2 linked regions of the Coturnix japonica genome follow. The protein of the gene in region 1 purifies or fractionates together with the protein of each later gene. This does not show direct contact. Links are inferred from orthologs where the notes say so. Each region holds a gene or a part of one and is shown on either strand. Other genes may lie near its edges.

Region 1 (3,717 bases):
TGGACACAGGCTGGCACCTCTGAAAGCGCATGGCAGGATTCTGACTCAGAGCTGCCATCTCTACATGGGCAACACTACGAGGAGAAGCATTCCTACTGGGAGAAACTGAATCCAAGAGCTTCAGGTGACATGCCTTCCCATGGTGATTTTCTGTAAGACGTTCCTGGGGCTCTTACCTCTAATGGTACACAATGCACACATTTACCCAAGGGGCCGTGGCGACACCTATGCAAAGAGAAACAGAATCAGAACAAGACTCATTCAATAACAGAAAAGTTAGTCTAGGGAGACTGTTACAGCTTAACAGTTTTAGCGTAGAAGATCTGGGCAACCATCTTAACCTGAACAACTCTCGACTTATTATGACATATGACAGAGACAGCGGTAGTGTGAGTTTAAATGTGAGAGTCTTGGGTTAAGATCAGACTCTTCGCATGTCTGTGTCACTGGCAAGCTGTTCTGCGCTGGACAGCCACGTGAACCAGCATCAGATCACAGCTTCTCAAGTTTTACAACCCCACCTGGAGGTTGTATTTCAATCCAAAGGATTTTAAACCTACGTCACGGGGTTGGCCTGTGTGGTTTTAACAAAAAAGACAACCAAAACATCCAGCCTTTATCAGTCACTAGAGGATGGTCTGGAACAAGCAGGGAAGCATGTGTTTATCAGACTGATAAGGACCTGCTGGGTGAAGTTACAAAGCAGAGGGGAAAACATCTCCTTTTGAGGAGGCTGATTAAAAAGAAAATACAAAAGAATCCCCGTGCACCTCTGCCCCAGCACAACGAACAGGTCAGTGCTAGCTTTGCAAAGAGATCCTCTAGAGAGCAGCATGGATGTTGGCTCTTCTGGAGACGAAATGGATGGGATCCAGTTGCAGCAGTGCTTTTAGCAAAGTATTGTGGCAGATAATGTACATAAAGGACCACTAAAGGCTGCTAATGCACTCAGCCAACGCCAGCATCCCCTCATGTTTAGATTGATATGCACTCACAAATACAGGAACAAGCCCAGACACACACATTTTATCATAAATATCCGCCGCTGTGCTTTGGCTCCCTGCTAAGAACAATACCTTCATTTATTCTTTTGAAAAACGTGGTTAAGTTAAGGACAATGTTTTTGCCACACAGTGGTGGGTTTTGCCTTTATTGTTTCAATAATGTGACTCTTGCCTCATTTATCATCAGTCTGAAAAGGTTAGATAGGATTTTCTACCTTAAGGCTTCATCTCTCCAAACTTACTTGCTGCTGCAGCGTTGAAGATAAACCATATGGAAGACAATACAAAGGGGAAGGGTGAGCTATCCTGTCTTACAAAGAATTCCTGGTTGACTTTAACATTTTCACTTGAGTCCTTTCAGAAGCTACTTTGTGGAGGGGCCTAGCCCCAAATCAACCACCATGCAGGAGCCAACTGGGACACTGTTAACAATGAGTCACAAAAAACACCCATCCAGACAGAGGACATTTCAGCAGCATCAGTGGAGATTTATGGTGGTATTAAGTCACCATTGTATTATTACCCTTACAAAAATACAAGCTGTTTTGTTTATCTAAGCCTCTTGCAGCTAAGAGTTTTGGCAAAGTTAAACCTTGCTGCATTTCTGTTAGCAAAATGGACTCCACGGTTTCACAGGAAGGTTAAGAAAGGCATGTGATGGAAAGGAAGCCAAAAACCAAGCAGAGGCAGAGACCCAAGTCCAAATTCCACGTCTCTGTCCTTGGACGTGGCTCCCACTCATTCCCTTCATTTTATTTTTCCTTTATAAGGAGGATTGGTGGGATCCAAAGACACAGAAGGGCTTCTGCCTGGGACATCCCTGGCCATGTGCCACACACACACACCTCAGTGCTGCAACCAAAGACATATGCAGCTGTTGTCAGCTGCCCCTGCAGGGCAGCAGGAAAGGTGAAAGCCCTGACAGAGGAGCTGTCTGCAATTAACCAAACCCCAACACTGTGCTTCCCACTGCTGCTGGCTGAGCCACACTGAGGCCGAAGCTCTGGCTGAAAGCATTTCCTTATTCACACCTCTAACACAAGATGCAGACCTGGCTCTGCAAGCCTGTCACCTCGGAACCCAGATAACAGGGAGCTGCACACTGACACCATGTGGAACAGAAGCTGCTGGTTTCAGAGCACAAAATAAATGATTGCTGGTCCCCCAACAGGGGCCACCTCGATCAAAACAATAGATGCTCTGAACGAGTCCTTCCTGGCCAAGCCCCTGGAATTTTGGTATCTGCTTCCTTCCTCAGCTCACCAGAGCTTTACTTTAACCTTGCAGGACAATGGCAAGGGCTGTTTTCCCTCGTGAATATTTCAAAGGCAGCAAGGATAAAGCAGTGGCTCAGACGGCAGTTCCCATAGCACACTTCCTGGCTCTTGGTTTCAGGCAAGATGTGACAGTCTGGTGAGGCACAGATGCACTGACAGCGAGCCACCTGTTGGTACTTACAGCTGCTGGTCTCGATTTCGATAGATCTTCCCATCCTGTTTGATCAGATACTGGTCGATGTCATCTTCCACCACCTGGGGGGCCCCCACCGGCCGCGAGCTCTGGGAGACAGAGGTGTCCATGGTCTCTGAGGAAGAGCCTGCTGGGCTCGATGGGTACAGAAACAGCATGTCGCCATGCCTGTGGGGGTGGAAAAACACAGAAGCATCAGCACAGAACAAGCTTTGCTTCCAGATACAACAGGGTGGGAGCGCAGGTGATAAGACTTGCTCAGACAGCTGGAAAGGATCAGACCACCCCCTTCCACCAGTAACTGAACTACACCAGACCTTCACCCTAACCACTTGAAGGAACTGGCTCCTTTGTGCTGAAGGGTGCAGGAAACGCCTGTGCTAGATCTGCTGCTCGTTACAAACCACATTAGTGTCCATGTTCCTTCAGCGAGTATTTCTGGGTAGCAAACTTCCTGGATCACGGAGGAGCGTGTGATTTATCACAGCCTACAAACAGACTAACAAACATGGCTCTATCTCCTTCTCTGGCATCTTTATCAGGAAACAAGATCAAGGAAAAAGAAGAGAGAGCAGAAAGAAGCAACAGCTCCACCAGAGAAAGGGATTTACATGGTTCCTGTGCACACCAAGTCACAGCCCTCCCAAGGCAGCTCCCAGTGCTGATACAATCAAGTGACAAGCTACACGCAACGGTAGCAGCTCTTGTATTTTAAGTCGGTTTAACATTATTCTTGATGTTAACAGAATGAAGACACTCCAACCAAATGCAAAGTGAATCAATCATTTGGCATTTCTGATCTCCCTAGGCACCTGGCTTCTGTGCAGGGGATTATCAGACCCTGGCATTAAATCAAGGAGGAAAAAAAAAAGCAAAAGTATAGTTTGAGTGCAAGCAGGGATGAGGGAGCAAAAATGAGGCCTGTTGCTGATCCAAACAAGCAAATTGCAATGCAAAAAGTGACCAAAGAAGCAGCTGCCACAGCCTAACACCTAGTTGCTTTGACCACCTCCATTTCTAAATGTCAGTCAAGATTGTCTCTTCAAGCAGCTGGCAAGTGACAGCTGAAAGCTGGAGTCTGCTGTACTGCGATGGTGGCTGCTGCTGCTCAGCTCAGAGGGGAGAGTTCAGACAAGCTTAGAGAAAAGGCACCCTGTTGTACAAAGCTCCCCCTCCGCCCACAGCACTCTCTGTCAGGACTCACTTGATTTTCAGTAAGTTGAGGGATTTGTTTTGTGATGCT
Region 2 (4,383 bases), about 800 kb from region 1:
CTTCACCCCGACAGCAGCAGAAATCTGCGTTGTTGAAGATATTTTCAGCTGTTCCCTAATGAGTCCCTCTTTCCTTGTTGCACTTTAATGAGCTCCAGGTTGATTTTTCCTCCCCCTCCTTTCTCTCCTGGCGCTTCTCATTTGAGATGAATATTTAAGATGAGAAGTGGCTCTAGATACATAACATGACCCTTAACCTCCGTGTCTAACTCTGACTTGCCATTAAAAGCTCCGTCCATCCCTATTCCTGCAACATGAAGATTCTCAGCTGGAATTACATTCATGTTTTTTACCCCTTATTCAACAGGAGCAACTTTTCTGTACAGGTTGTGTCACTTTCAGATGCAAAATAGGAACCAGCTGCCTTTTTCTGACATTAAATAAGAGCCACCCCCCCACCCCATCCAGGAACTGTTTTCAGGCTCTATGAAAACTGAAATGTATCTTTTAACACTTAATGGTTGCTCCATCTCAGCAGCTGTCATTAACACAGCCATCTTAATTGTTTCTTCATACCTTCTGTGAAGGCATTCGCCAATGGGAGGGCAGGGTGCCTTGATTTGTGTGTGATGCTTGGGTTGCTCCCTTATCACCCAAGCACCCTGTGGTATTTGTTGCCCCATTTGTAGGCATGGTGTGACAGCAGCCCTTCCCAACAGAACAGAGAGAACAATAGTGAATTAAAGACACTGTTGAGTACTAAACAACGTGTTGTACACTACGACATCCCTTACTGCTGTCACCACATCCTATGGAGCAGTGCTGGTGTTGGATTTGGGGAGCTGTGCTCAGCAGCCAGGAGACGTCTGCATCAGTCACTTCCCACTGCCTCGTTTCTTCCCTTCTTTGCCGTGCTTAAGACCGGGTGTTATCTTTAATAGGGCTCTTTTCTTTTATAAGCCGGGCAGAACAGAGCTGGATGGAGGCAGCGGGGGAAAGCTTCAGCTAAAGGAATTCCAGTGGCCAACCCAGGCTCCCTTTCTTAACGACCGGAGCAACCAGAGCCCCGTCTGCAGCTGACTCTTCGGGAGGGCGTTCAGCACAGCAGGGCCGGTGCTGGGAGCGAGGGGAAGCTCTGGCCGCTCTGGGCACGCGATGTGACGGATCCTGGCTCCCGGAGCATCATCTGATCGGATCGGCTCGTAGCGCTGATGGAGGTTCGGCCGTGGCGCCGTCTGTTCCGCGCTGTCTCACGGGCAGCCGCTGGGAGCGTCGGCTCGGAACCACGGGGATGGCGGTGCTGCCGGGCCCAGAGAGAGCTGAGCCCGGAACCCTGCTCTGCTCACCGAGCTTCCTTCGAGCTCGTTGTACCGGCTGAGATATCGCCCCGCACCCGCAGCAGGCCCCGCTCGTACCGGCATCGGGGGCGGAGCGGGGCGGGCGCAGCGCGGCTCCTCCCCGGGAGGGAAGATGGCGGCGGCGGGCGGGGGGGGTGCGGCGGTGTCGGTGTTGGCCCCCAGCGGGCGGCGGGTCACGGTGCGGGTGGGGCCCGGCACGGTGCTGCTCCAGGTGGGTCCGGGCCGGGGGCGGTGCGCGGCGGGGCCGGGCTTGGAGTTGGGCTCGGAGCCGGGCCGTGACGTCTCCGTTCTCTCGGCAGATCCTCGAGGAGGTCTGCAGGAAGCAGGGCGGCAGTCCCGCCGAGTACGGCCTCAAGTGAGTCCCTGCGCCGGGTCGCCCGCGCCGCTTCAGCTCCGAGCCGGGCCGAGGCCTAGGCCCAGGGCTGGGCCCTGCACCATAACGCCCGGTGTCGCGGCCCTCACGCCCCCAGCTGCCCGCCCTGCTGGGCCCGGGAAGGCCGGGTGGGAGCAGCCGCCTGGCTGCTGGGTGTCCCGGAGCCGTGTGCTGAGCCTGGGGCTGGTGTTACTGCCATAGAAATACAGGTGTTGTGTGATAATACACGGGGATACAGTTCGTAGTTAGCACTGGGGAGAGAGGCCCATGTTGCACAATTCTGACGATCCTTCAGAAGGTTATTTTCTTCAAATCAATCTCAGTGGATTTTCCAGTGACAAAGTCCATTCAGTTTTGAGGCAGATACTGAAATCCTTTCATAACGACATGCCCCTGCTTCTCCCCCTCATACACTTTCTGTAGTTCCCTGCAGGACCCCTCTGTTTCCTGGTGTTCTGACAGCAGTAACATACCTTGTTAGTTATCATTGAATGCTCAGCTTGTGTGCGATTCAGCTGGCGTTTCTCTGACATTGCTCTCATTAGAGCATATGTTGAAGATTTTATCTGTAACTTCTACAAACTGTAGTTTTCAGTATGCTGCACCATCACATTATATGCCTTACAGCCTGCCCATGGAGTGTTCTCTTGTTCCAGCCCTGGATGCTACGTCCCTGAAGTGATGTGATGGTGCTCTGTGATGGTTCCCTGATATCTTCACCTGCTGTGTTTTTCTTTAGGTTTCAGAGAAATGTTTTGGATCTCACTTTACAGTGGAGATTTGCCAGACTGCCCAACAATGCCAAGCTGGAGATGGTGCCAGTCTCTTGTAATAAAGTGGGAACTGGAAACACGGTACGTTCATTACAAATAGTGACCTGATTTGTACAATTTTCAGCCCTGCTGGATACGATCCTGTCAGATCTAATGAGTAAGAGTGTGTTAAAGGCTGCCCAGTACTTGAGTGGAGGACCACAGTGGAAGTGTGATGGAAAACAGTTTGGTAGCTGGAAGTCTTTGCTTACAGTCCATATGGTCATGGAGGGAATAGGGGGTTCTTTTGAAGAGCTGATAGACTTAACAGTCAAAAATATATACGACCTTAAAGATCGCTGATGACTTTGCTCAAAAGCTGAGTGAGTTTTCTTTCCCAGTTTCTATTTCAGTTACTGTAGTTTGCCTCTGAGTCTCAACTAAAATCTCAGTTTTGTACAGAATTCATGGTGTATTCACACAGCTTTCTCTGACATGCAGTGTCTAGCAGTGGCCTAATGCCCCTATTTACTGCTAGCAAAAGGCTTATGGGTGCTTTGTTCTGTAGGAGTTATTGTCATCTTCAAGGAGACCTAAATCTTTATATGCTTGTCATCCTAACAGCTGGAGGCACAACTCAATGGATATGTGTTACTGAGCATAAACATTTTATGTGGTAAAATCTTATTTAAGCAGTCTGGAAATGAGAATGTGTCTGTCACTTAAAGTAATCTCTTCTTTTACTGATGTGCTTAATAAGGAGCTTCTCGGATTAAGTGAAAATCTTCAGGTCTGTTGCTCTCTTAATGCCTGCCTGCCAAATTGTGACGGTGGTTTTATGTTGTAGGTGGTTAGTTTGGCTGTCACATGAATAAACTCATACATACATTGGAATTTGAACAGTGCTTTATTGGAAGACTTTGGGATCTCCACTCCCGTTTGCTGTGGGTGTGTTTTATAGCTTTGAGTATCACTAAAAGTTACCATTAAAACCATTGTTACCATTATCAGTTACCAGTAAAACTTACAAGGTGGGGTCCTTGTTAAAGGTCATTAAAATTGTTATTTAGTTGTATTTCAACAAAATAATCCACAGGAATAGGAGTTCCCTTGGAGAGCTTGTTGGTGTTCGAAGGAGCTGAGAAGGCAGAGCAAACATACTTGCAAATGGTGCAGTCTGATCAGAGCTGCTGTCCTGTAAACTAAGAACAGACACTTCACTTTATGGACAATATAAGAAAATACTTTGTAAGAGTAAATACAGTTGTCCAAAAGAATTCCTTGTCTCTGAGAAAGAGCATCACGTTCAGTAGGAAGTTTGAAACAACTAGATGGTTCTGGGGATTGAACTGATGCTGTTCTGGGACTGGGATTTTTTAAAGGACTTTTGCAATTGACTGCCTGTGACTTTCTTGACATACTTAGCTTTGAACTGTTGCCCAAGAGACTGATGCAACTGGCAGTCTGAATTTCAGGGCCAGATTCTGGTAGAATGATGTCAGCTGTCATCACTCTGTAGCTGAGGGGGTAATCTCAGGCTTGTCTTCAGCATGGAAGAAACCAGGAGGTCGTGTTAATGGTGGGCTGAAACTACTACCTTCTGTTGGCTGGTTGTTGGTGATGCCACCGTAATTCCCATCTCCAGCAGATCAAGATCTGCAGTCCTGTAAGGGCTGGTGGGAGCTGCAGCAGATGATAAATGCACTCCTCCAAAGAAATTGCAGTATATAATGTGATTGTTTGGCTGTTAAGCCTTTTCTCTGGGGCTGTTCCTCAGCTTATTCATTTTGGAATCGTTCTTTATTTATTGATTTTCCAATAGAAATTTTCTATAGAGTATGAAGGATGCTTCATGAGCTAATAAGTGTAGATGTTCACGTTCCAGGTTGGAAAACACCTGTTCTTTTTTTCTTCCTCCTAATACCACATGCAGGTATTTAAGGACTCAATAACTGAATAC

Evidence for each region. Proteins that work in one complex are often made in the same cells at the same time.
Region 2: the proteins of NPLOC4 (region 1) and ASPSCR1 purify together in Homo sapiens (affinity purification with mass spectrometry; 3 studies listed by BioGRID and IntAct, with this or other methods). This does not show direct contact. The link is inferred for Coturnix japonica from reciprocal best matches to the Homo sapiens genes NPLOC4 and ASPSCR1.

What each region holds. Positions count from the first base shown.
Region 1 is NC_029533.1:5,200,449-5,204,165, forward strand, and holds part of NPLOC4 (nuclear protein localization protein 4 homolog), read right to left. Parts: coding exon 3,679-3,717; intron 2,643-3,678; coding exon 2,463-2,642; intron 226-2,462; coding exon 177-225; intron 1-176. UniProt on the Homo sapiens protein: The ternary complex containing UFD1, VCP and NPLOC4 binds ubiquitinated proteins and is necessary for the export of misfolded proteins from the ER to the cytoplasm, where they are degraded by the proteasome.
Region 2 is NC_029533.1:4,396,042-4,400,424, reverse strand, and holds the start of ASPSCR1 (tether containing UBX domain for GLUT4), read left to right. Parts: upstream 1-1,375; 5' UTR 1,376-1,410; coding exon 1,411-1,509; intron 1,510-1,597; coding exon 1,598-1,653; intron 1,654-2,410; coding exon 2,411-2,525; intron 2,526-4,383. UniProt on the Homo sapiens protein: Tethering protein that sequesters GLUT4-containing vesicles in the cytoplasm in the absence of insulin. Modulates the amount of GLUT4 that is available at the cell surface. Enhances VCP methylation catalyzed by VCPKMT.